Linked DNA regions of Astyanax mexicanus. The protein of the gene in region 4 interacts with the protein of the main gene of each other region in a pairwise test. Links are inferred from orthologs where the notes say so. Each region holds a gene or a part of one and is shown on either strand. Other genes may lie near its edges. The genes, in order: cass4, nebulette-like, tuft1a and zyx.

Evidence for each region.
Region 1: the proteins of zyx (region 4) and cass4 interact in binary tests that used the Homo sapiens proteins (3 or more experiments, as listed by UniProt). The link is inferred for Astyanax mexicanus from reciprocal best matches to the Homo sapiens genes ZYX and CASS4.
Region 2: the proteins of zyx (region 4) and nebulette-like interact in a two-hybrid assay, tested with the Homo sapiens proteins (2 studies listed by BioGRID and IntAct). The link is inferred for Astyanax mexicanus from reciprocal best matches to the Homo sapiens genes ZYX and NEBL.
Region 3: the proteins of zyx (region 4) and tuft1a interact in binary tests that used the Homo sapiens proteins (3 or more experiments, as listed by UniProt). The link is inferred for Astyanax mexicanus from reciprocal best matches to the Homo sapiens genes ZYX and TUFT1.

What each region holds. Positions count from the first base shown.
Region 1 is NC_064431.1:32,798,675-32,805,978, forward strand, and holds the start of cass4 (cas scaffolding protein family member 4), read left to right. Parts: upstream 1-4,295; 5' UTR 4,296-4,523; coding exon 4,524-4,529; intron 4,530-7,304. UniProt on the Homo sapiens protein: Docking protein that plays a role in tyrosine kinase-based signaling related to cell adhesion and cell spreading. Regulates PTK2/FAK1 activity, focal adhesion integrity, and cell spreading.
Region 2 is NC_064408.1:108,678,826-108,685,752, reverse strand, and holds the start of nebulette-like, read left to right. Parts: upstream 1-3,922; coding exon 3,923-3,997; intron 3,998-5,031; coding exon 5,032-5,139; intron 5,140-6,140; coding exon 6,141-6,221; intron 6,222-6,927. UniProt on the Homo sapiens protein: Binds to actin and plays an important role in the assembly of the Z-disk. May functionally link sarcomeric actin to the desmin intermediate filaments in the heart muscle sarcomeres.
Region 3 is NC_064413.1:2,086,237-2,093,216, reverse strand, and holds the start of tuft1a (tuftelin 1a), read left to right. Parts: upstream 1-3,979; 5' UTR 3,980-3,998; coding exon 3,999-4,085; intron 4,086-6,980. UniProt on the Homo sapiens protein: Involved in the structural organization of the epidermis. Involved in the mineralization and structural organization of enamel.
Region 4 is NC_064413.1:39,113,506-39,120,985, forward strand, and holds the start of zyx (zyxin), read left to right. Parts: upstream 1-4,468; 5' UTR 4,469-4,759; intron 4,760-6,136; exon of another isoform or gene 6,137-6,469; intron 6,470-7,480. UniProt on the Homo sapiens protein: Adhesion plaque protein. Binds alpha-actinin and the CRP protein. Important for targeting TES and ENA/VASP family members to focal adhesions and for the formation of actin-rich structures.

The DNA.
Region 1 (7,304 bases), on a different chromosome or scaffold from region 4:
GTAAATTAGGACATGTGTAGGGGTGTGACAATATATCGATATTGTGATATCACATTGTGATACGTGGCTTCAATTATGGATGCTTTTATTAAAACATTAGCGTTATAAACTCTCTAAAGCTCCAACCAATTAGACTAAAACTTAAGTTGCTGCTTCTTTACTAAATAAATAAATACTAATAAATCCATAGTTGCTGGTATTTGATTATTTAGGAGTGTTTTACCCTCCTCAATAATGTAGATGCTGTGAAGTATCGTAGAGAACTGTATTTCGATAAATCGAGCATAGTGATGATGGGATATTGTCGTTATTGTGGGAAATGTATTGTGATAATGTTGTATTTCTATGATTCCCTTTCTTTATATGCAATTCCACTGTTTTATATCAGTTTTAGAAAGTCCAAGTTTTGGTTTTGCTATTTATAGGTTTATGTTTGAGTAAAATGAACATTGTTGTTTTATTCTATAAACTACAGACAACATTTCTCCCAAATTACAAATAAAAATATTCTCATTTAGAGCATTTATTTACAGAAAATGAGAAATGACTGAAATAACAAAAAAGATGCAGAACTTTCAGACCTCAAATAATGCAAAGAAAACAAGTTCATATTCATAAAGTTTTAAGAGTTCAGAAATAATCAATATTTGGTGGAATAAACCTGGTTGTTTTTTAATCACAGTTTTAATTTCATGCATCTTGGCATCATGTTCTCCTCCACCAGTCTTACACACTGCTTTTGGATAACTTTATGCTGCTTTACTCCTGGTGCAAAAATTCAAGCAGTTCAGTTTGGTGGTTTGATGGTTTGTGATCATCCATCTTCCTCTTGATTATATTCCAGAGGTTTTACATTTAATAAAATCAAAGAAACTCATCATTTTTAAGTGCTTTCTTATTTTATTTCCTTATTTTTTGTCATTTTAGAAGTAAACAAATGTTAGAATCTGATATGCAGAGTTTATATCAGACCTTAATTGAAAAAACAGCAGCCTGAGTGAAATTCCTTTTGGTGTCGTTTAACAGATGTGAATGTTTTTATTCCAGGAGAGAGCTGTCTGAGCGTCAGTAAACCAAAAAATCTCCAGACTGGTCACTTAATTCCTTATATTAAAACAAGGACAGAAATGTGGATTTCCACTGATAATGTTAATCCAAATTAATTCAAAATGTGTGAAATTATTTTATTAATTCATTACTCTGTAGGTAGAATAGAGTATAGATACTAGAGTTTAATAAAATACTTTTGTACGTTAAAAAAAGTATCAACTCAAGCTTTTAACTTTTACTTTTAAGTAAAAGTGTTTTAAAAAGTACTGGATTTAAACCTTATACTTAAAGTATAAAAGTAAAAGTAATGTAAGGAGAAAAAATAAAGTAATCAAGACTAAAACCTTTAAAAGCTTAGGCCACACCCACGGGTGTGATGGATCACAGTATAAACCAATAGGGAGTCAGAATGGTATGTGTTTATACTTCTCTACATCCAATCACAATCAGATTCACTCTATCTGGATGGAGAGATTTATCTGGATAGGGGGTTTATTAAACGATGAGAAGCCGGAATGAAAACGATCTGAATTAGGAACTAGGAGTAGCATGGCTGTTTGTTTTTAGAAGTAGAAGTAGTTTTATTTAAACTTTTACTCAAAAAGTAAAAAGCTTGAGTTGATACTTTTTTTAATTCTACAGAAGTATTTTATTAAATTCTAGTATCTATACTCTATTCACCCTACAGAGTAATGAATTTAGATACTTTTCACACCTTTGATTATGTTTCTCTTTATATAAATTAAATTTAAAGAGTATTTTAGTGAAATTCTTTGTGGAGTGATTGCAGCAGATGTGGAGCATCACTGATAGATTGATGGGAACTCTTTCTGGCTGGGTTTCGTTGGTGAATACCAGACCACGACTGCAGGATCTGCTCCAGTCTGTCCTCCAAAACTTCCCCCAAACCATAAACCCCATCCCCCGTCCCCCCGTCCCCGTCCACCGCTCTTTGTGTCGTCTAGACAACAAAGCAGAAACTCAGAAGAATCCAGGTCTTTAAAATAAGCTGTCAACAATAAATCAGCTCAGACGCTGGAGGGGATAGACTCAAACACACAATGGACGAGTCTGAAACTGTGCCTGTTCACTATATACTGTTCACTATACACTGTTCACTATATACCGTTCTCTATATACCGTTCACTATATACCGTTCACTATATACTGTTCACTATATACTGTTCTCTATATACCGTTCACTATATACTGTTCACTATATACCGTTCTCTATATACCGTTCACTATATACTGTTCACTATATACTGTTCTCTATATACCGTTCACTATACACTGTTCTCTATATACCGTTCACTATATACTGTTCTCTATATACCGTTCACTACATACTGTTCACTATATACTGTTCACTATATACTGTTCACTATATACTGTTCACTATATACTGTTCTCTATATACCGTTCACTATATACCGTTCACTATATACTGTTCTCTATATACCGTTCACTATATACTGTTCACTATATACTGTTCTCTATATACTGTTCTCTATATACCGTTCACTATATACCGTTCTCTATATACCGTTCTCTATATACTGTTCTCTATATACCGTTCACTATATACCGTTCTCTATATACCGTTCTCTATATACTGTTCTCTATATACCGTTCACTATATACTGTTCACTATATACTGTTCTCTATATACCGTTCACTATATACCGTTCTCTATATACCGTTCACTATATACCGTTCACTATATACTGTTCACTATATACTGTTCTCTATATACTGTTCTCTATATACCGTTCACTATATACCGTTCTCTATATACCGTTCTCTATATACTGTTCTCTATATACCGTTCACTATATACTGTTCACTATATACTGTTCTCTATATACCGTTCACTATATACCGTTCTCTATATACCGTTCTCTATATACTGTTCACTATATACCGTTCACTATATACCGTTCTCTATATACCGTTCACTATATACTGTTCTCTATATACTATTCACTATATACTATTCACTATATACTATTCACTATATACTATTCACTATATACTACTCACTATATACTATTCACTATATACTCTTCACTATACACCATTCACTATACACCGTTCACTATACACCGTTCACTATATACCGTTCACTATATACTGTTCACTATATACCGTTCACTATACACTATTCACTATATACTATTCACTATATTCACTACAAAAAAGGGGAGAGAGAATAGAAAAAAGACATAATATGGAACAACAAAGAAAGCAGAAGAGCTACGAGAAACATATTTACACTCCACTGTCAAGCAACACCTTAGCAACCACCTAGCAAAGCCATAGCAGCCACCACTGCAACACCTTAGCAACCACCTAACATACCTTAACAACACCATAGCAGCCACACTCGCATTTTCTGCAGGAACACCTAGCAGCACCTTAACCCCACAGCAGCCCCTATAAACACTACAGCAGCAACAAAGAAGCCACCTAGCAATATCTAGCAACACCTTAACAACACCATAGGAACCAACACTGATACCACAGCAACACCTTAGCAACCACCTAGCATAGCGTAATACCTCAGCAACCACCTGGCACCCCATAAATCGGCACTGCAGCCACACTCGCACTAGGTGCAGGAACACCTAGCAGCACCTTAACACCACAGCAGCCCCCTTATACACTACAGCAACAACACAGCAGCCACCTAGCAACATCTAAGCAACCATCACAGACACCATATCGACACCTTAGCAACCACCTAGCAACACCTTGACAGCCACCATAGCAGTTACCACTGACACCACAGCAACACCATAGGAGCCACCTAGCAACACTTGCAATACCTTAGCAACCACTTCACACCCCAAAAATCAGCACTGCAGCCACACTCGCACACCACTCTAGTTTTTATTTACTTTTACTTTTGTCCCAAAAATTGTGTGTCTAACTGTGTGTGTGTGTGTGTCTAAATATGTGTGTGTGTGTGTCTAAATGTGTGTGTGTGTGTGTGTGTGTGTGTGTGCAAAATAAAGCATTAACTGTAATGAATAGAAGTAGCATCACACCGGAAACAATTAAAGGAAAGAGTGATATCAGTGGGCAGCACACACTCACCCACTACTGAACACTGCTGCATTTCTCAGAAGAAAAAGAGGAGGCGGGTGAAGACAGAGGGGCGGGGACAGCTGTGGACAGGCGCTGTGATTGGCTGAGGGTCCGAGGCAGACTGAACTACCAGCAGAGTCTTCCCTCATTCACTCACTGCTGTAGAAAGTGTGTGAAGAGATTGAGAGATTGAGAGAGAGAGAGAGAGGGAGGAGTGTGAACTGTTGGATTAATAGTGTTAAAAGTGATATAAAAGTGAAGGAGAGATCAGAGGTGTAGAATCAGAGAGGAAGAAGGTTTCTGCTGTAGAGCTCTGAGATCTACTGCAGCTCTAAATGGAGATTTAACTGGATTAAACTGCAGACCAGTGATCGGAGACGGAGATGGAGGTAAGCACTGATCAATACTATCAATACTATCAGATCATCTACATACAGCTCTGAAAAATAAGAGAACACCTAAAAATGATGAGTTTCTTTGATTTTACCAAATTGAAAACCTCTGGAATATAATCAAGAGGAAGATGGATGATCACAAACCATCAAACCACCAAACTGAACTGCTTGAATTTTTGCACCAGGAGTAAAGCAGCATAAAGTTATCCAAAAGCAGTGTGTAAGACTGGTGGAGGAGAACATGATGCCAAGATGCATAAAATTAAAACTGTGATTAAAAACCAAACAGGATTATTCCACCAAATATTGATTTCTGAACTCTTAAAACTTTATGAATATGAACTTGTTTTGAAGCTCTGCATCTTTTTTGTTATTTCATTTTTGTTAATTCAGCTTGATTTCAGATGTGTGCACCTTTTTGATTTTTGCTTATGAATGGAATGTATAATTATTAATATATTTTTATCTATATAAACAGTCAAATATAATTTGCTGCAGATAATTTACATACCGAATATAAAATAAAAATATAAAGTATTTTATCAACACACACACGCACATTGCTAACTTGCATTTGCTTTATATATTGTCTCAAAAGTTTACGAGAAATTGACCAATAGAAACGCTCTACATTATGTGGCATACATTTTTTCACATTCCATTTATTTAGTTAAGATTTTATGTCTCTCCTGTAAAGTTGTTGTTTTGGATGATGCTGGAATAATGGTTAAATCAGCACAATTGCATTAACTTTTACTCTAGTGATTGGTATAAATTATTATTGATTAGTGACTATTTTTAGTCATTATTGTTTTGTGATTTTTTTTTATATCACAATACATACATTGCACAACAATATTCCAATATCGTACAGCCCTAATAGTGATAAACACAGAAAAAACAAACAAACACATGAAGCATCAGCAGAGTTTAGTAACTTGGTGTTTGGTTAACCAGAAGTGTGGGGTCCCTCTGGGCTCTATCTTAGGGCCTCTGAAACTGCTGTATCGGTTATTAATGTATAGTGTGAGAGAAGTGTGTGGATTACAGGGTTTAAGCGTGAGTTAACATCATTAAAACTAACATTAATTACCAAAGTAACAGTATCAAACACTGCTGAAAAACTTTAGTAAGGAATCATGTAGTAACTTAAAAGTGTTAAACACTCTGTGAAGAGTTTAGTTTTTTATTCTTTCCTGGAGCGGTCCTGATGAGTGCCAGTTTCCTCATTATAAAGTTTTTGATGGTCTTTGCGGTGACTGCACTTAAGGATGCTTTCAAAGTTCTTAAAATTGACTTTATATATTAACCTGGATTCGAACATTACTCAAATATTCACTATTCACTGTATACCTGTAACTCTACCTCTTCACTACTTTACTTTAACTGATGCTCTCAAACACTTTATTAAGAGACAAGAAATTCAAGTAATTAACTCTTGATGAGTTCAGCACAGCTGTTAACTGAAAGCCTGAACTCCAGGAGATTCTACCTCCTGTTTTGATCTGGGTCAAACTGACCTGTTTTAAAATGTATAGATCTAGGAAAAATAGTTAAAATGATTTTTTTTCAGTATGAAAATGGTTCATCTTACATTTTTGCAACCACCCCTTGCAAAAACTAAAACTAAAACTAAAACACAAAATTGCAATGTTATTTTTTAATATTAAATAAAACTACTGTATTTTATATACGTTGGTGTTTCAAAAGTAGTGAAACATTAAGAAAAGTTTGGACATTAGTATTTTTTTTTTTATGAAAAACGAGTGAATTATCCTAATTGAAGCATTATTACCTGTAATTAAACATAAACCAGGATTAATCAAATTACAGGAGGGTTAACACATTTTTGTTTTTTAATTCTATATATTTTTGTTCATAGTTTGAAGAAGTTTAGTATTATTAATCTACAATGAAGAACATTTTTAAATAATTAAAATACAACAGTGAATTTTAAGGCGTGTCCAAACTAATAGTGAGTTAATAGTGATCAGCACTCTTTATGAGGGTCACTTTCTTTCTTTTTCTTTTTTTCTTTTCTTTTTTTTTTGCGTGTGGACCTCCAGCTGCTGGGATATCAGTCTAAAGGCTGGTGTCAGCTCACCATCCTATTTTTTCATGCACCCCATGACCTCCTTTCAACCCCCCCACCCCCAACCCTGAAGCCCTGCTTAGAGCTGCAGTGTCTGCTGTGAAATACGATACTGAGAGAGAGAGAGAGAGAGAGAGAGAGAGAGAGAGAGAGAGAGAGAGAGAAGGGGACTTTATTGGTGTCGTTAACTTGTTGCTTTCCTCCAGGAATCCCTGGAATTAAGTCGAGTAGAAAAGACGTAAACCAGCGTACAGACGGGCTTCTGGGTAAAGTGTTGAAAGACCTCGTATCTCCCTGAATCCGCGCTGCTACACTGTCGTCAGCTGAACTCAACACTCAACACCACAGCTATTCTAAGACTCCTCGAAGCAGAAGTGGCCTCTGTGTAGTTTTTTTTTTTGTGATATCGGTTGCAAAAGTAATAAATGCAGAAGTGCAGAGGATTTAAAAGTAGAGTCTTAAAACAGACCCTTTAAAAACATTTTTAACCTGTGTGAATACACAAGTTAGAATACTGTAGGTCTGTCTTCTATACAAAACATGTTTTGTTTTATACCAGTTTCAGTCTCTTTCAGAGTGTGCTGTTTAAGGGCTCTGTCACTTTTATGCAAATAAGCTGTTACTTAGTGGCATTAGTTTTAGCTTGTGCTAAATGGGAAAACAAAAACAAGCTAGTT
Region 2 (6,927 bases), on a different chromosome or scaffold from region 4:
AGTTCTGAAAATGTACTTATTACAAAACTAAAAAAAGTTCCACCATACTTTTTTTTTGAGTCCATGTGCTGTTTAGCTTGAAATATTGGCTACCCTGGCCCCACAATTTTCAGTCTTATAAATGAGCCTTTAATCTGCTGTCAGTGATGAATAACGCAAAATAAACGATTTGTCAACTGAATAAACCAGTTCTAAAATAATGAACATAAAACCTTCCCTGTAATTCTTATTCAGTTTATTTTGCAACATAAAAACAAAGGGAAAAGTGTTTCTTACTGTTTGTCTTGTACATTTATTGTTTAGGATCTTTCTAGTATTTTTGTAATAAAAATGTTTTTCTTCACTCTTTGAGTTTACATTGATTTTAATGCGGCATATGTTTAATAAGAGTTAGATTTTTTTAATAAGAGTGTGTTTGAGATGTTTATTTTTGGTAAAATGCTAATCTGTGTACGGTACTGTTAAATGAACATTATGCTTAATTTGATATATACTAGCTATCCTTAATTTGTGGCTCAATTTGGGTTATTTTCTTATTGGTTATATAACGGGTCATGTGGTGCCCGTTTTGAACTTTTCTTTATCCTAAAAACTAAAAACAGTAAAAACTGTATAGAAGAAACAAATTACATTAATTGATTAAACAGCTTACAGTATAAACAACAAATCATTAGGGTCAAATAAATATGGTAGGTTATTGGCTTTTGTGCATTGACACCATAACATCAACCACATGCTTGCAGTGTGTAGAATTTCAGTATGTCATAAAACACTATAAATACAACATACTGTATTAAATGAGCCAGTGTAGACACACATTCATGAATATAAGAATGTGTATATGGATATGGGGGTAACCTGCAGGCAGTAGAGCCCTTTCACACGTGCATTAACATCGGTACGTTAAGTGCTGGCCAGCAAAAGGCTAGTCAAGGACGGCATTGGGAGAGGGGAGAGAAGAAACAAGGATTCTGAAACTGACTGTAGCAATCTTGTAATATCCAGTGCCTTCGGACCAGCCGACATGAAATGTGCGCCTGAGCCTTTTTAAACCGCGGAGATAAGATGAATAACTCGAGGATGGTGACTAAATATAAATGTTTTATATTCATCTTTATTACATTATATATATTATATGTCAATGCGTATACATATAAAATAAACTGCGCACAGTGTCAAATACCGGCAAAATTTGAGATATTTGTCACACTTTTGCACCGCAATGCATGCTGGGAGGTTGGTCTTGTCTCACTGGCAGAACACTAAGGAATTTATTTTCTACACAATGTTAAAACACTTCAGCTAAAAGTGAGAAAGTCTGGGTTGATTATTGGTTTGTTTACTTGCTTAAAAAAAACGTTTGTTATTTTAAGGCTGTTTAGCCACTAAACATGCGGTGAGATCAGTGCTGGATTATTATGGAGAGCCGAGTGACTGCACACCGCTAGAGGGAGCCCGCGAGGGAGTCCACAATGAATAAGAGTGAACGGAGCTAAACGGCTAAAAACTCTAATTAAGAATAGTATTTAAACACGTGTCCGGGATATTCCTTTACTTTTAGAAATTAGAATAGAGTATATTGCTTAAAAACATAGAAAACTTACCGTATGTTTATATTTTTCTGCAGAAAACGATTTTGTGGACAACAGATCCGCTAGCATTACTGCTACCGAGGGCTGATTGGTTGGTGAGTAAAAGCTAGAGAGTTTAAAACTTTTATAACTGAGTTTAAAAGCTTTTAAGCTCTTTTTAAAGCTTTCTAACCCACATTTGTTCCTGATTGATGTTTAGATAATTCGCATTAATTATTTATTCAGTATAAAAATAATCTAACATTTATAAACTCTGGATTTGCTCACTTGCTCCATATGAACCCATTCATTTTTGACTCACTCAGCAGCGCCCTCTGCTGGCCCGACAAAGCCTAAAGACATTCTTAACCCTTTCAGACCCTGCGTCCATTGAAATGGACAATTTATGTTTTCTTCTTTATTTGTATTCTTGCATGTAATACAGATTTAGGCCTGTTATCCAACAGAATTGACATTTATCTATAGTGAAAAACAGCACCTTAGTAGCCTCGCCTACTGCATTAAACAAAATAATAATAATAAAAAAAATCATGTTATGAGTTATTTTTACTGCTTAGGAGGGATTTGTGAAATAAAAAAGTTATATAAAACTTACCAATGTTTAAAAAATTATTACACTGCAATTAACATAAAAATAAAAATTATATATATATATTATATTTATTTGAACTGCTGCTGATGTAGCATTGCCAAGTAGACAGCACGCTCGGAGGAAAGTGCAGCGATACAGCAGCTCACAGACGCCTTGTGCTGATCAACATCACCTTTTGGAGTGATGATGGGAAAAAGCACCATCTACCCACCCAGAGAGAGCTAAGCCAATTGTGCCCCTTCAGAGCTTTGGCAGCTGCATGACCGGGATTCGGACCAGCTCATAGTACTTTAGTAGCATTTCTGCTACTGTGAGCTGATTGGTTAGTAAGATTATGCTAGAGTTAAAGCCAAAGCCACAGCCAAGTTTAAAAGTTTATAACTGGATTTTAAAAGCTTAAAAATGATCTCAGCAAAAGTGAAACATCTTTACATTATTTAGTGTTGAGCATATAGCTCAATTCCCAGTATAAAACTAATGAAACATTTATAAACTCTCATTTTGTTTACTTGCTCCATAGGAACCCATTTATTTTGGACTCACTCAGGAGAGCCCTCTGGTGGTCAAACCAACGCACAACACATTCTTTAGTGAGTATTCTCCACTAAAGTCAACCTCAGTCTTCTATCTGAAAATGAATAGAAAAATATATTTTATTTATTTTAGCTTGTACAATTGTTAGCTAAGCTAAGCTAAGGCATCACTTGTTCAAAACGAGCTGAAACACATAGTAGACAAAAATTATGCCACTCCTGTGCTTTTGTGCAACTCACTAAGAGAGTTACTATAGCTTCAGTGTTTCTTTTTTTTTATTATTAATATACTGTAAAATTGGAATAAATGGCATTGTTAAATAAAATGCTTTGTTGATATAGAATCACTGTGATAATATCTCTGGGCGTTGCTCATAATGAAAGGTCATCAATGCTGAATTCCAGTAAACCTTTAAATCAATTACATTTAAAAAGTAAAAACTACATATTATACAGGAAACTTTAAAAAACTGTAAAAATCTAATCGTTTGCTGGGCGGAGTCCCAAATCTTTACATCCCAGGTAACGCTTCTGCTCACAGCTGTCACATAGCTGACAAGTCTGACAAACATTCAATTAAGTAAAAAAGCAAAGGCCCTATCTGTGTTTAGAGCATTTATCTAATAACTGTAATGCTAATTTATTCAGCTTTTACTAGACATTTGTTTCAGGTGGTCTCTGCTGGTCTTTGTTGATTAAGGTGGTGTAAAAGCTGATCATTGAGGCAAAAACAGACCCAATACTGGTAAGCCAGCTGATTTACCAGCTCTTGACCAGAATAGTGTAGGTTGCCATTGATTAAGTCATGCTAATCATGCTGATCTGCTGGCTTTGTCATACTGGGTGTCTAACCCAATCAGTTAAAATAGTTTAACCATCAGATCAAACAAACTATGCTGACTATGCTGATTTTCAGCAGAACTGTGCTTTAACATGTAGATATTACCGTGTCGGACAGAATAGAACTGGAACATTCCTCAGACTGACAGCATTATCAATAGCAGGAGGTCTTTTAATGGCTCTGCCATGATAACACTAAAGTGCTTTCTAAACCGAGAGGCTCAGATTTGATAAGAAGCTCCTCATCCAGAGACACAGACAAAAAGCCTCCTCAGACCAGAACAGAAATTAGGTTTAGCATCATACAGATCTTAGCAGAACTTTAATCAGATTCATTGTGTCTTAGTTTTATTTGCACTCTGGAAATGTCTACCGCTGATGCTAAAGATGCTGACAAGACAGATAAAGATGATACCAGTGATGCTTGTGCACTTGTGGAGGTGAGAGATTTCTCTTTCATTTGTCTTTTCTAATGATTGTGAGCAACAAACATATTTCTAAACCTGAATCAGTAGATCTAGAATGATGTTTACTCTTGTAAAGGTTAACACGTGGTAGTGAAGTGACTAGTTATAGTGACTATTTTCATTAAGCTGATTGAGCATAGTTTTAATGACATCAAACATCAGCAAGAAAAGCTTTTGGAAATTGTGGAATTTTACAGTGTAGTATTTTTCTAAGCGTAAAGAGTATATATATATATATATAGTACTGAAACATAGGCCTGCATGATATTTTTATAGCATCATTCTCTATGACATTTTTAATATCACAAAATATGTCACAGAACAAATATTGCAGTGTCTGTTTTTCAGTATCATACATCCCTACTGAAAAGAAAATTAAAGTGATAGTACCCAGTAAGAAAGTGCCTAAAACTAATTTAAATGCTCCTTGGAAAAAAATGGCAAAAATGGTTACTATAGTATCCAGTTTGTAAAAAAGCGTTTTTAACATTTCCTGTAATGTAGGAGTGTGCCATATTGTATCATACACAATGATATCATACACAATGATATCTGAAATATTGTGCTATATCACCCACCCCTAATTATTACATCAGGGTACTACTTTTTTTTACTGTTTTTTAGCAAAAAAACTGGATATATGGAGATATTTGAAGTGCAGTCGGTTGACTTCGGTTACAAATCTAATAAAATTTTTGTGTTGTTCCTTATTGCAGTAGTGTATTCTTGAAATATTTTTTTCAATTTAGTGTTTTGTCATATCACCAAGAGTATTGTTATTGTGAAAATACCATTAAATATCACAATATTATTTTATGGTCATATCGCCCACCCCTACTGTAGAGTATAAAACAGTATTACTTATGGTCTACTTCAAAACTCAGTTATCTCTGACCTCCATTACTTCAGGTTGTCTTTAACAGTCATGTATGTTAACAGTGATTTGATGATGAAAATTCTAAATATTAAATACTGTGTGAATTGTATAATTGTTTATTTATTACAAGGAGAAAGAGGAAATGAAAGAGCTTTTACCAGACTCTAATAGACCCATCTTACAAGATACTGCAGAGACTCAGAACACTGCTGAGATTACACAGCCTGCGGAATATAAGGTACAGCCACACAGTGAGGTGCAGCACACTGCTACATTTAGGTTCTTCTGAATGTGTGTCCTCCCAAACAATACATTTTAAAGCATTTCTAATTAATTGTCTGTGGCGTCCTGAGTTTAAAAAGCCTAACATTAAAACAGCTTCATTTAACATGATTATGTTTCACTGTAGAGAACAGACTTTCCTGGGTTGCTGTTTTAATACGTCAAGTATTTTTGTGTGTGATGTGTTTAGGAGTGAAAATGAACAAACTGGACAGCAGGAAAAAAGGAGTACCCTTGTAAAAGAAAAGTGCATTTTAGTATATTTGTTAATAGTATACTTAACATGGAAAAGTACATACTTTTAACATTAAAATTAAAACATACTTAAAAACATACTAACTGTTCTATTTTATAATAATTTATGACAACTGAAGTATATTTTAATTGTAATTAAGCTATATTTTATTACAACATTGAAACATTTGTTTGGGCTTTTCAGTACGTCTGCAAACTTAGTAGATTTTAGTATGTCTTTTTTAAACACATTTTTTAATACACTTGAAATTTATTGTGAATGTACTACTTTGCATATGGATGCACATATTGTGTACACCTTAATGTTACTGGGAAAAAATACGCTAAATTGCACTTAAAGCAGTAATTAATGCCACTCTTTATATTTTCTATCAATACAATGTTCCATTTAAAGCATATTGCTTAAAAATACATTCTATGGAAATACAGATAAAGTATATTTAATGGGTATTTTATAACGTATATAAACTAGAAAGTGTACTTTTAGTATTCTTTACCTAATTAATTTGAACATACTTTTTTAAGTAAATTCTTAAGTATACTTCCTTTTCACAAGAGAATACACTCTTCAGAGTGAGGTAACACACACACACTACACTATTGCTACTCTTCTGTTTGTTTGTAATTAAAAGTTTAAATTAATAATTAAATAAATAATTATGTAAATTTCTCCTCCTCATTATTCTAATCCTCTGGCTCCAGTATAAAGAAGGGAAGAAGGATTTATCCAGTTGTCTTTACTCCGCTCTGCCAGAGACCAGAGAGATGCAGTTTGCCAGAGAGGTGACTGAAATGATAAGTCACTTAATCTTACTATAAAACACTGTATGAGGAAATATAATTTTTATATTCAGTGATTATGATGATTATACTTATGATGATTGTATTAATGGTGATTATATTTAAGTTTTTGAATGTTCTATAATACTTATTACTGTATGCTTAAAATTACCTAACTGGGCAAGTCAACCAGTATGTCCACTTCCAGATACACTAGACAATCTAAAACAAATGCTAAATGTATTGCTAAACCAATGTGTTTTAACATATTTCAAAAAAATAAAAAATAAAGTAGTATTTTGGAGTTAAAAGGCTTGATTAAACTCACCTAAATCTGGTTATAAGTTAAAATGTTTTCTGCAGTCCATGAGACAGTTTTGGAAAATTTACACTTTACTCACATATTATTGAAATAAAATAATTATTCCAGGTCTAAAAGTACTCTAACACAATTGCCAACTGTAAAAATACACTACCTGGACAAAAAAAGTCTCCACCTGGATTTAAGTAAGTAAATGATGTGGGGTTGATGCTGCAGTTGGTCTGCAGGTCTAGGTTCAGCAACAGTATGTGCTGAAAGAATGAGGTCAGCTGACTACCTGAATATACTGAATGTAGACCAGGTTATTCCATCAATTGATTTTTTTTTCTTCCCTGATGACACGGGAATATTCCAAGATGGCAATGCCAGGATTTATGGGTCTGGAAT
Region 3 (6,980 bases), about 37 Mb from region 4:
AACAGCTAGTACAGCTAAAACAAAATGTTTGACCCAATGTTTTAATATAAAAGTAAGCTTTTTAAACAAAAGGAGCAAAATTATTTAATGATATGCCAAAATGTAGTCATATTGTTAACAACAGGTGCTTCTTGATTAAAATCTTTTTAACTGTATCTGGTGGATTTATGTCATGTAAAATGCATTAGTCACTTAGTATTTGTTTAATCCAGGATTCAGGATAGTTGAAAATATGAGTAGTAGCTTATTTTAAATACAACCTAAATGTTTAAGTTAAAAAAATTAAAAATAAGACATGGTAAGGAGCCTAAATGCCTGCATGCAAGTACTTGCGCAGCACTGAACTGGAGCTTTGTCAGCTAATCCCTCACAAAAAGTGCCTGTTGTGTTTAGCATAGCAGGTTCCTGGCAGTGTTTCTCACGACTACTGGGAAGGCTTGTTTGGTTATAGAGGATGGATGGTTCGCTCCCATAAAAACACACTTGCCATCTTTGTTCAACCTGCTGCGTCAGGGCTGTTTACTTTTACATTTGACCTTTTAGCTGACCATCTATCTCTGCTTGCTCATCTTCCCTACAGCTTCCTCTTTAGCTCACAGTAGAGGAGTGAGAGTGGGATAAATGCTTTAAAGAGCAGTTGGAAATTAATAGATGATGGCTTCTTGGTGCATATCAAAAATTTATTAGCATTTTTCTTGTGTATGTAACAATAATCTTGCTGTTTACATTTTCAGAAATCTGGGATTTAGCCTGATCTATGTCTAAACACAATTAAAGAACAAAACTTAACCTCAGTGTAAGAAACAGCACAATTCATTTACTTTTTTGTCAAATTTAGTGGACAGTAAGATAGGCAGGTCTGTCTAATACAAAGGCTCTTTTTGTATCTATTTTAACTTGGATAAATCATTTGAATAAGACCTGTTTGCCGTATGTTAATGTTTAATTTTAATGCTTGATGGCTTTGAAGGCACTGCCCATGAGCAAATTCCATCATCTGTGTGTTTCACTAGGCAAATACATCTGTAACACGCATGCTATGAGAGCAATGTCAGCTGGTTTGTTTTCACCTCTAGGTGCTAAATATCAGTAATTAACAGCAGCATTAGTGGAATGTTCTGATGTATAATGTTGTTTTCTCCCCTGAGGTGCACATCATTCATTTACAGCAACTTAAAAAGATCTACTGTGAATGATTGTGTTAATGATTTTTAATAGATATATAATAATTTTAAATAATTGTATTTATAAGTGCGAACACTTCATTTAATAATGTAAAGCATCTTGTTGATCAGGTTTAAGTCATTTTAAATATTCATAAACACTGTAATTAAATAAACAGTTAATAGTTAAAGTGAAATAATTTGTTAACATAGTTAATATTGGTTAAACTTGTTTAACATCACATATTTAACATAAGCAAATAATATATTAGATGATGCTTTGTTAGTAGGTTATAAGTATAAAGTATATAGTATAAGGTTTTTGTACGGTCATGAAAACAGCAAATTCCAGGCCTGGATAAGTTTTGGAAAAGTCATGGAAATTTGCTCTACAAATCTCAGTGTTTCCGTTTAAGAAAAGCTATTTTGGTGTTAAAAATAATTGAATGTTTAGGCAAATCCGTTGTGTCTTGTCTGCACTGATTTTTTAAAGACTGTACGTCATGAAAATTTGCTGCGAAGGTTTCGGAAAAGTCATGGAAATGTATTAGTTGAAAAGTGTATGAACCCTGTATAAGGTGCTACCCCCTAAGTATGATAGATAAAATTCTTTATTGTCACATGTAAATAGAATATTCTATCGAAATTTTTAAATATCCACAATAAAACTGTCTTATTCACATAATAAAACATACTGTCTTATTCATGTCAATTGGCTCTCCTTTCTAAGTAAATATAATTGGGCAGTATTGAGGTCAGCAGAAATACTGAAGTCATGCCCATATATTGTGTGATAAGTTGATAATGCATTTATTATGACAGGGCTAGATATAAGTGACCTCTGCTCTGAATGGGCCACCCTGAATTATGCCTCATTTAAAAAGCTGGCCAGACTGAAATGCTCTGTAAAGCTTTGGCATAAATGGATGAGGATAAACTGATGTAGGCTTATTTGCTGCTACATGTAGTTTTTGTGACATTTACATTTACGATACTTAGCAGACGCCCTTATCCAGAGCGACTTACAACAGTGCTTCAAAGTTACTTCAGATATCCAAAGCTAGTTTTTAGACTAGGATCAAGATACACATAGAACTTAATCATGTTTAGAACCCTAGGAACTTTTTTTTTTTTTTTTTTTTTTTGACATCACAAAAATATATAATTTAAAGAGGTCTGTTTTGATGCCTCAGTAACTTCATATATGAACCGTGTGGATTATCTATTAGGGTAGTGCACACTGAAAACGGTTGAGAACGTTTTGTCTGCATCATGGTCTTGGGTTACCTGTGTAGTTCTCACCTGATCTTTACGTGTCACTGAGAAAGAATGTCAGTGTGTGTGTGTGTGTGAGAGAGAGGGAGAGATTAGTTGGGCCTCAGTCTGAGCGCCAATAAAAGGTCCGGGAGCTGATATCCGATTACACATTCCACTCTTGGCTCTCTCATGTGTTCTTTTTCTTGTTCTTTCGTCTCCTCCGGCACCTTTTTCCTGGACATTGTTTTGCTGTAGATTAAAGTGCTGTTTTGGCCAGAACTCACATTTACACAGTTTCCCCCATTTAGCACAAATGGTAATGGATCAGCTATGACGTGTTTGGTGACTCTGTTTTGTAGCTCCAGTGCAAAACTAAGGAGGGAATCTTTTAAAGCTGTGTAAATTTGATCTTTTGCTGAACTAAAACTTTAAGTATATGCATTTACAAACACTGCTTTGTAACATGAGAAGACAGGAAGGAAGAGGGAGCGTGAGAAATAAATTAGAAATAGATGTCTCTGTACATATGATTTGATTTACCATTCAAAGCAGATATGACGGGTTTGGTCATATGATTAGTTTTTCTATCCTGGTAGATTTTGTTCTTTCTGTTTCTCTGATTTAACTACTACTTTTTTGCCGTTTTTGCAAAAGAAAAATTCACACTTCTTCTTTCCTATTATATATCTACTAGAGACTATAGATTATATATGTCCAGTATAATTTATTTTACTTTATTCCTGGATATATGGAGATATTTCGAGAGCATTATTAGTATCATGACATTCTAGATCATTGACTTCTGTTACAAATCTGATAAAATTCTTGTATTTATTTTAATATCTCAAATTTTATTTTCATTTTGTTGCAGTGGTGTATTCTTGAGATTTTTTTTTTAGTTCAGAGTTTTGTCATATCGCCAAGAGTATCGTTATATCGAAAATACCATGAAATATTGTGATATTATTTTAGGCCAATATTGCCCACCCCTACTGTCAACTTATTCGAAGTGCCTACCTTGTATTTTCACTAACTGGCCACTTTATTAGAAACCCCTACCTTTTTCTTTCACTCACTGGCCACTTTATTAGAAACCCATACCTTGTATTTTCACTCATTGGCCACCTTAATAGAACCCCCCTTCTATGTTCTTCCACTCTTTGTCCACTTTATTAGAAACACTTACCTCAAGCTTCTACTCTTTTGCCACTTTATTAGAACCTAATCTATTATAGCTCCCCAGTATACATATATAGTTGCAGACTGTTTATCTGTATCTTCACTGTTTGAAAGGTCAGTGCATTTATATAGCTGTGAGGGGCTTATATGATGCTACTAGGTATGAATAGAGCTGTATTGCTGTAAGCAAAATCCACACTGATACCCTGTGAATAGAGTTCATAATCCTCTACTGTTTCTGGCGAGAAAATCTGTGTGCGTGTGTGCATACCATACGTGCAATTATGCCTTTGTTGCTGTCCTGGACTGAGGTGTGGTGTTCAATTTGGCAGGGCGCTTGTTTAAATGCTGCTTTGCCTTCTATGGAAACACGGACGCACACACTCTCATACACAGGCTATGACTAGCTCCAAAGTTCAGTTTCAGCAGTCCTCCTCTCTCCTGACAGTGAGACGAGCGGACCTGAAGACTGGTTCATTTGCTCTGGTAAATAAAACTTTCATTTATTTTACTGGACAGGATAAAGTGTCTGGTTTTGGTCATTTAAGTCTGTCTAGTGGCTTTAGTGTCGACATATTTCCACAGATAAAGCTGTTAGCTAAGATTGCATGGGTGTGTGATGTCTCGTTGCCAGATTTGTTTTGTCTGTGGTCATCCCTGTGGGATTTTGTAGTATTACAGGTAATCTGGTAAACATTGCATTATAGCCAAATCACTTTAATCCAGTGTAATGACACAGAACACAGCAATGTGCTGCGGTGTATCGTGCATCACTGCTATTATCTCAGCTACTTGATGTATTGGTGCACAGACTCTGTTTGTGGTCTATGTTCAGAGTTGTGTGTGCATTGCACAAAGCCTGTGTTTACCCAACAGCGAACGTCACTCACTGATAAGCAGATGCAGCGCAGCTTAAACCCATACTCCAGTCAAAGGATTATATTTGTCTAAAAGCCCCCTAATAGAACTTTAGTGGATCTTCTTACTTGGCGTACCTCATCTACCATTCGCCCTCAGAGAAACTGAAATGTGTTGGATTCTATTTTTTTGTCTTTTCGACTATAATAACATCAAATTAGGGTATTTGCGTTCATCTGAGAGCTATTTTTAAATGCATTTTTAGCTATAGTATGAACAGCTGCTTTTTAATAACCCTATTAACCTTGTCATGCATTCAGACTCATTGTTTTCACTTTGCTTGGTTTTTCATGTAGTTATTGAAACACACTAATTTAAGTTTGAGATTCAGAGAGAAAAATTACTTAAAACCTGCCCATGTTTGGATCAGGAACTGGAATTTTAGCTTTTTGTGCGTTACTGTGATTTTTCTTACTATATAAAAGCTGTCATTATTGTTGAATGCAATGTAGAGAAGGACCAATCACTGTTCTTGATGTCTTATAGTGATTTACATATGATCAGTATTTTCTTCTAATGCATTGTTAATGTCTAATGTGATTTCTGCTTATTAGTACTGCCGTATCTTTTCAGGATGACAATAAAAGGTAAATGACTATGGATGAAGAGCTTATAGCTTATAGTCTTACAGTTGTTGCTTATCGCTCTGTATACCTATAACTTTAACTTTTAAGTATTCAAATGAGTTATCACTGCAGGGTGTGAGTGTCCTTTGAAATGCGCACACACTCGTTATGCAACAGAGGGGCTGTGCAGAGAGTGTTTGTCTATCAGAGTCAGTTAAACACACACAAGTCACTTACAATTTCAACAGTGTTCTTCACTGGAAGGGTGCGTGTGCAGTGACATTTCCCATGTATTGAACTGTCAGGACAGTCTGAGGTGAAGGTCAGGGGGAAAGTATGTGTGGAATGTCTTGTCTTAACTCTCTCTCTCTCTCTCTCTGTCTTTCCTCATTCCCTGCGTTAATATTAACATATTGACTTGAAGCTTAAAATGCAGTGTGAAAGTGTGCAGGTGCATGTGTATATAGATAAAAGTCAATAACGTGTGTGTTATATAACCAGCTTACTGCCTTCTGCTGAGTAAATACCTCTTTGTGACTCTGTGGGTGTGTGCATGTGTGTGAGTTTAAGCGTGTAATTAGGGTTTTTTTTTTTATGTGATTCGCACAGCATTCTTTTGGGAACCTCCTCTTCATCAACACTGTCAGACTGTTGTAAGATTTTGTGGATTTGTAGTACAGTTTTTGTGTATAGTACACTACAGATATGTGTCCACATGCCTTTAGCATTAATGATTACATATAGATTACAAATAACAAAATAGTTTGTGATTATTCGGAATAAAACCATTTAGCTAAGACTTCAACAGTGCATTGTATAAACTTCAAACAGCTTATCCACTGCTGCACTCCCGGTTTATGGTGGGCAGGTCTCCTTGACTTTTTATTTTACATAAGATTATTTTGGTGGGGGTTACATTTTTTAAAATACTTATTGCACTAAACAGCCAATGGAAAAAAGTGACTTTAAGTGATGAAACCGAAGCTATACATTATATTTGTAATGAGAAAATAATTTCTAATGCTGATTCACCATCAGCATCACCATCCGCTCTCTGCTCTCATCACTTTCATTGAGACGCCGGCATCTGTTGGCTGATGTATCAAAGCTGGGCATCTGGTGCTTTCCTATAAGTGCATTGGCTGCCTAGTAATATTGCATTGGTGGCAGTTTGAAAAGAGGTGGGAGGCTTGTGCTCACCTGTGTAGTAACATTGTGTAAACATTGTACATAATACAGGGTGTCTGCGAATGCTTAAATCATCTTACAAGGTCTTATGTTCATTTATCTCAAAAGGCTTAATTTAAACAGAACCGACTGCATTATTTATGGCTCATGGCTGTACTTAAGGCCTGGAAAAGTGTAAATTTAAACAGAAACAGTTAAATATCCCAGTTTTGCACTGGACCCTGCTTTCTCAAAAAGTACAGAAAGTTCCATTATCATTTACACAAAGCTTTTTTTGTGAAATCTCAAAATACAATTTATTGTTAAAGTGGACTTAATTTTGTGTCTGTGGGATATTTAAAAGTCTTTTCTCGAATAACTGCAGATACCCTCATAAGACACAACAGTAATTTAGGAACTGTATTTGATGTTCTGCATCAGATCTGCATGTTTAGATTATCTGCATCTTCCTTCTGCATTCCTTTTAGAGCAGAAGGCTGTTTATTTATGCGCGTTGTCATGGTGATGTTCCACGTCGCCCCAAAGAGTACTTCCCTGTTTGGACTCTGTGCCACAATTCAAATGTACATTCAAACCAGTGCTCTGGCCGCCGGAGGAGTTGTGGTATTTTCCAGAAGCTGCAGACTGGAAACACAATGTTCTGTATCTTAGAGACGGGATTGCATTTCCCCTGCTTTTTTTCCTCTCACTTTCAAATTGAGTAAGCACT
Region 4 (7,480 bases):
AGTGCCTGCCCATATCTGGCTCCACTGCTTAACATAGATAGCCTTGCTGTCTGTCCACTTCTTTAAAGCCTCATGTCCATCAATCGTTTGCCTTTATCATTTCTGCATATATACTCCCTTTGCGCCTGTCTGTTCTCGTTCCTGAAATTCTGTTCCACAGCCTATAATATGGGAGAGTGGTGTCACATCGTCAGTAGCGTATAACTATAGTCAACAATGCAACATCATTTTGGAATAGCCTGCTACGTCAGTTTAATGATTATTAATTACATTTTCTGATTGCAAAAATAGTAAATGTGATGTAAAAACATTTTTTTTAAATGTAGGTTTGGTTACAAGAAATAAGTTTTCATCCATTTTTCCAATGTAATTTTTTTTCCATCTATGCCCCTCACAATCGGAATTTTAGGTAAAATGAATCTTTTCTTTATTTTCTGATTTTTACATTTTTGCATTTTGCAAGTTGGATTATATCATCAGATTTGTGTTACAAGACATAAAAATGGAATCTGAAAATCGAAAGAAGATTTAACTTTTTGTGTAAGGCAGAAACAAAAAACTAGATAATTGAAATAATTGGATAAAAACACATTTCTTATTCTCTATACTGAATGAAAAAAAAAACAATAATTAAGTTTTATACCTAATTTTCTATTTTCGAATTTAGCTTGATACGGTCAGAAAATTAACCTGCTAAACGTTACACTGACCCTGCTAATACCATTTTATATTATTATTATTATTATTATTATTATTATTATTATTATTATTATTATTATTATTATTTATAGTCAGTGGATATCCTTTATAATGTTGTTTGAAGGCCTAGCGGCATCTAATGGCATGTTAACCCTGTTTAAATATGCTGGTTAGGATTTTGGCCAGATTGAATCTTGTGTAATCTAGTGTTTTGATTATAATTTATAAATAGTCTGTCATTTAGATAGCGTTCCCATTTTGGTAAACTAGCGAAGGAGATAGAGAAAAGCGAGAAGACCTGGCACAAGATTCAATGGCTTGCCCAGGACAGTCGAGAGTGGAAGTTCTTTGTTAGTACCTTATGCTCCAGTCAGAGCAAATATTTTTGATGATTTATGATGATAGGCTATGTGTTATCTGTATTATGTTCTCTGCATTGTTCTTTTATATACTTGATAAAGCCTTCAATGCGCTAAATAATATGTAGGCTTCTTTACTGTTCTGACAGTTGCCACCCACAAACTCTGCCTTTGCCTACCTTCATTCCCACAACTGCTCTTTCTAGTGGTTTCCCTGCTTTAAGCCACCTCGATTTAACTGATAAAGAGTGTGATAATTAGTTTGGGAGGAACATCAGAGCAGCGTAAACACTACAGTATGCAGAACTGCTGCACTCTCTCCAACTGGATTTGATTAGCTGTATTTAAAGCCCTCTCTCAGGGCCTCTTTTGATGAATTGGAGTTCTGTACTGTCATCTAGTGGACGAGCCAAAAAGTGCAAGGCTACACTTAGCACACGATCAGAACTAAATATGGATAGGTGTCCACGGGTATGCGGGTGGGGATCAGACAGAGAGCATAAGGCTTTTCTGAATGCTATTTCAATATGAGTGATTCGGTCCTGACACAGTATGCAGCTCTGTACCAGAGGATTAATTCTCAGAAAATCTAACTAAGCACAAGTGTGTGATTATGCACAACTGTATGATTATGTATATCTCTGTGGGTGAGCACAGCAAGTCAAGTGCAAACACAAGTCAAGAGTTTTTCGAATGCTCTCAGCAGGGGAGGAGAGAGACAGAGAAAACTGAAAAAGAAAAAATATGGATGATTGCAGTCCACTCTCCCCCCTCCGAATGAAGGGGAACAGAATGAGGATGTAGGAATCTAGCTGAGGCATACAGTATGAGCACACACAATGAGTCATGGTGGGTGAGGGTGGAGGGGGAATTGTTCTGAGCTGTGTCTGGCAGTACTCCAAGCTGCACGGACTCTGCTTCCAATGGGCCTCCTGCTGAGAGCTTCACCTTCAGCCAGGCTGCAAAACACTCCAAAATATCTCCCATCTCTTTCCCTGTGCAGACTACAGCCCACGACTGACCAATTACTTTAACAACAGTTTCTGTCCTTCTTTGTCTCAAACTAAATCCTTTGGGCGAAAGAATTGTAGAAATGAGTGTTGTGTAATATTTTCCATAATAATTGATTATATCATTGGGATTTGGTCTGATACTTATATCCAGAGCAACAAAACCGAATTAGAAAGGTCTGAGAGAGTGTGGAAAAGGCTAATAAAATAAATATGCTCTGTCTGCTCAACTTCATTTTACTTGAAACCTAAATAATGATGTTATTTCAAACATATCAGGTCAACAGGCATTTGTAACCATGATTTGGTATAAGAGCAGTATCCAAGGGTAAAGGCTGAGACATTCGGGACTTTCTGCAGCAAAGATCAGCAGAGGATCTCCATGGAAGATGCTTAAAAACAATGTTCCAAGTAAGAATGAAAAATATTTGCAGGTTTCCCTGTCTATTGTGCATAATATCCTTAAAGCCGTTTAGTGCATAAAAATCCTTAAAGCGGAAAGTACAGGGACACAAGCCTAAGCTGAACACCCACAATCTCCAATTCTTTTAGACAGCACTTCATCAAGAAACATCATTCAACAATAGCTAATGATAAAAAACATGGAAAAACTTTGGTAAACCATTGTCATGCACTAAAATAAACAGCTACTTTCACAAACATCACTTAAATTTGTACTGTGCCAAACAGAAGCCTTATGTTAACCATGTCCAAAACAGTGTTAACTTCTCTGAGTGCTGAGGCATCTGGGGTGGATCATCACAAAGTGTAAATGTAGACTGTTCCAGTATTTCAGATATTTTTGGGGGAAATAAATAAATGTGCACAAACCAAAATGGAAAAAAAATAATCAAGGCTGCTATTAGCAACAAGTTCAACAGCCAGAAATGAAGCTTTTACATTTGGGGTTGTGGCAGTACACTTTTGTGGCAGCAGCATTAATGCAGAAAATTTACACTGAGATCTTAGAGCAACCTTCAAAACAACAATCCTTTTAAGGGATGTCCATTCATTGTTTATAAAAGTTAAAGCAAATAAATGAAACACTTTTTAATTTGCATTTTCCATACTGTTTTAAAGTAAGTAAATGGGGCATGAAGAGTCTTGCCTAAAGACATTTATTAGAGTAGTGTGGTGTACTCGTCTAGCCGGGCAATTAATTTCTCATCTGTTGTGTCGTTACCAGCTTTGCTACTACAAAAGCCATTATGTTTCTATAGTATTTTACAACAATATTTATTGTAGTGTTGAAGGCTGTAGAAAACTACAGTACTTGAATCATCTGTAGGATTCCTACAGAAATTCAAAAAGGATCATTACACTTTTCCCTAAGTAAAAGAGTGATCCTTTTTAAACTAAGGCTAAACTGTTATTTTATGCTGGGAGGCCGCCTGTGACCACTCCCTGCTGTTATTTTTCACTTAGGCCTACATGTAAGAAACAAAACAAGTCAAACTGTCTCCTTCCTGACAGGAGGGACTGTTCCACATTAACGGTGCAGGGTCCAGTGCTGTTTTCTGAAAAGGCAGCTTCCACTGCATCAGCCTGGGCAGTGAGCTGTGCAGATGGGATTTGTGGTTGTGAGCTGCACAGGAACAAATGCTAGATATTTTCCAGGCTGCTGTAGACTACAGGGGGAAAAATAATAATGCACCTGAAACATTAATAAGCCTAGTCAGGAAGGATAGACTGTATGTATGTATGTATGTGTGTGAGGGAGAGTGCAGCAGATGTGCAGGATGGGTGGAACTGAGCTCTGACACTGTGGAAGCGATAAAAGGACATTTTTTTAATATGACTCTGGCTCAGATCCGATAGAAAGAAAGCCAAAAAATCTCTGTATCACAGTCTTATTTACAGTACAAATTAAATCTGCACTGCACTGCATTGTTCAGCCTGGTTCAGTGGATGCTTTTCTTTCGGGCCTGCTGTTAACAGGAGAGCTGCTAATATCTTTCGGATGATCTCATGTGTTTCACATTACAGCTGGAGCTGGCTGTGGAAAACCATATGAGCAGTGGAATAAAATGAGGTTCACCATAGCTGCACTAAACTTCTTTTCATTTTAAAGTGTTAGCTTTTTTCTGTTGTTGTTGTTAAGCTGGGCTCTCCTGTGGGTTTGAAGCTGATCTGAGTGCAGTGTTTTCCCTGAGCACCTCATGTCCCTTCACTACCCTTCTCCTGCCAACTGTTCCTCATTTCTATGTCTGTGTCTAATCAACCCCCAACCTCTCTTTATCTTTCCCTCCTCTCTCTCTCTGGCTCTCTCACTCACTCTGCCCTTACAAGGAAAGGCAGGCAGGGTTGATGTCATCGAATGAAGAATGTTTAAAGAATCCTGAGAGGCGAAGAGAGGGAGAAAAAGAGAGACAGAGAGGGGAGGAGAGTGTGTATGTGTGTGTGTGTGTGGAGAGAGAGAGAGAGAGAGAGAGAGAGAGAGAGAGAGAGAGGTGTTTGGCATGTGATAGACCTGACCAGGGTGAAAGGCAAACGAGAAAGAACTTGTTTAGAAGGATGGTGCCATTCTTTTGGGAGACAAATAGGGGGAGGGTCTAACAGGAACAGTTTGTGAGTGAGGGAGAAAGTGTAAAAGAGAGAGAGAGAGACAGGGAGAGAGAGTGGACTTCCAGTAAAAAAGAGAAGTCTGTATCAGTAGAAAAGGAAGATACCAAGACCTCCTTCAGTAAAAAGGTAAGCTGAACCTTCCTTGCAACAGATAAACAAGAATGCCAGCCTCTCTTTAAAAAAAAAAAGCTCCTGATGTCACTTTAGGCCTCTAGGGTTTGATGGAACTCAGCATTAGTTTCAGGGGATTCTGGATACAAAAGCTTTTTTGGAGCATTTCTACTGGTCAATTTACTAATAAACTGATTGTTGAATTAATATAACAAACAACCAGATTTAGATGATGTCAAAAAGTAAAAAAAATGGCAAAAATGAGAACATAAATGTATCATTTTTGAACAACAAAACACAGTTATGCAGTGCCAGTCAAAAGTTTACACACACCTCCTTTCATTAAATGTGTTTTCTGTCTTTTTGTGATGTTTTTTACATTGTAAATTTAATATTGAGGATACTAAAGCTATATATTAACACAGGCAGAATTATTTTGTGAAAACAGAAAGTGTTAAGCAAACCAGAATATGTTTTATTTTTTAGCATTTAGCTTTGGGGACAGATCTGCCCACATTTATAGGTATTTTCTCAGTATCTTTATGAGGCAGAGTCACCTGGTATGGTTTTCTCAGCATTTTGAAGTTCATGGAACTGCCTGTATCACCCTTTTCTTTAAAGTAAAATAAGTATATTACATTCTGAAAACGTTGACTAGAGAACCGTAATAAAATTAAAGTTTTAGAGGGCATTACCTGTTTATAAAATATTAAATTGAAAATGAAATTTAGAAAATGCAAAATTCATGATTAGATTTCTATATTTTTATTATATTTAATATTATTTTATTCCTCATATTTTTACATTTGCAGATTTACTTTTTTCATTTTTAAAATACTTGCTATTTCTATTACGGTACAATTACGATTTTCAGTACAGTTTATTAACAAACATAACACCTCCTCCTCAATATATAAGTGTGTAATATCTGGCAAAAAAATCTAAAACGCCTGCTTGTTAAGGGATTTAAAAAGTAAGTAAAGAAAAACATTAAATGAGAAGATTTGTCCAGACTTTTTACTGATAATGCATGTTACAAATTTGTAGGAAAAATGGCAAGGAAAAAAAAAAACAATAAAAACACAGCTGTAAAAAGTGCACATATTCCAGTTGTATTATTTTTCTCTAAGATGATGAGATAATTACAAATGTATTTTTATTGTATTTTTAAAAAAGCCACAAAAACAAATGCAAAGAAAAATAAATTTTAAAAAGCATATCATTTTTCCAGTTGTATTTCTTTATTTAATGAAATGTCAAGCAATCACAAAAACAATCCACATCAGTACTAAACCGGGGAGTTCTGTATTTCAGTATTTTATCCGAAGTTTTTGCTAAAAGTGCTGAAAATCGATCACATTCACTCCCAGCGCCGGGGAGAAGGCGGAAGCTGGAACCGGAAGTGAGGGTACATTTCTGGGGGAAAACTTCCCACAGCAACATTTCCAGGTGGAGAAAAACCTTCAAACAGCGGCCAAGAGAACACAATGAAGAGAAACGAGCTGGATAAATGACTAATCAGACCCCGGACTGTACTGGTGCGGTGATATCAGGTCACTAAGGGAGGGGTTAGCGCGGCAGACAGGCGTTAAAACCAGGCGAAGGAGCTGAACCTGGTCCCCGTGGTGCTGCTGCTCGACTTTAGACGGTTTACTGATCTAACCTAACCTACCTACTAACTGTGAAACTACTACTGTGATACACTCCGCCGCTGCTCCGATCAGCGTAAGAAACCCTGTTTTCTATAATCTGAGTGAGTGAGTGTGTTTTCTGTTGCAGTGTCCGTATTTACGGGATTTATGTGTGAAAGTGGAGTGCTCCAGTTACCTTACTCATTGGTATTATTATTATTAGCAGCAGTGTGTGTTTGTATTGTTTCTTTTTTTGTTATTGTCTTTCTGTGAGGAGTAGCATGAAAATCGATAGGTTAGATAACTAAGTTTATTCTGTGTATAAATAGGATTGTCATACAGGTATTTGTTTGTGCCATTGTATCCTGTACACTAGTAGCTGTATTAGAGGGGTGGGGCAGAGTCTGTGCTTTCTATCTAGTTAAATAGGTTATTTCCCTAGTTGTTCTCTAAGTATGTCAAGCTAAATGGTTAAATTGTTTACTAAGCAAAGATAACCTACATTAGCTAGTTATTTAGCTAATAAATTAGCACAAATATGACCTGGCTAGCTAGGTAACTAGCTTAGCGACTATACGTGCTGGGGAACCATGGTTCTTCTAATATTATTATTTTTTAGATCTAGCTTACCATATTGCTTAGTATTGTGAACCTACGTTCCCTTGTTTTTATAGCTATATAGCTAAATGTTTTTTTTTTCATCTTATAGCTATTGTTTTAAACTTCTTGACACTGCTGTAACATTACAAATTTCGCCGCTGTGTGATTAATAAAAGCTCGTTTTATCTTATCTTTTCTAAGCTAGGTAACTAGCGTGGCGGCCCCTATTATTAACTTCTCGTAATCAAAATATTTAAAATTTAGCTAAGTCATCTGTGAATAAACTGAAAGGATTTACTCACCCAAATAAACGGGGTTCAGTGTCGATATATATGTATAGTTTAATATACAAGAAAAAATATATGGATATGTTTTCTATAATAAAATTTAAATGCATGCTATGCTAACTTTTCTTATTTTCTCTCAAGCTGTTGTGTTAGCTGGCAGGTAGCCGGTGTAGTTGCTAAGCTAGCTAGCTAGCTTGCTAGAGTTAGCTGTTAGATAT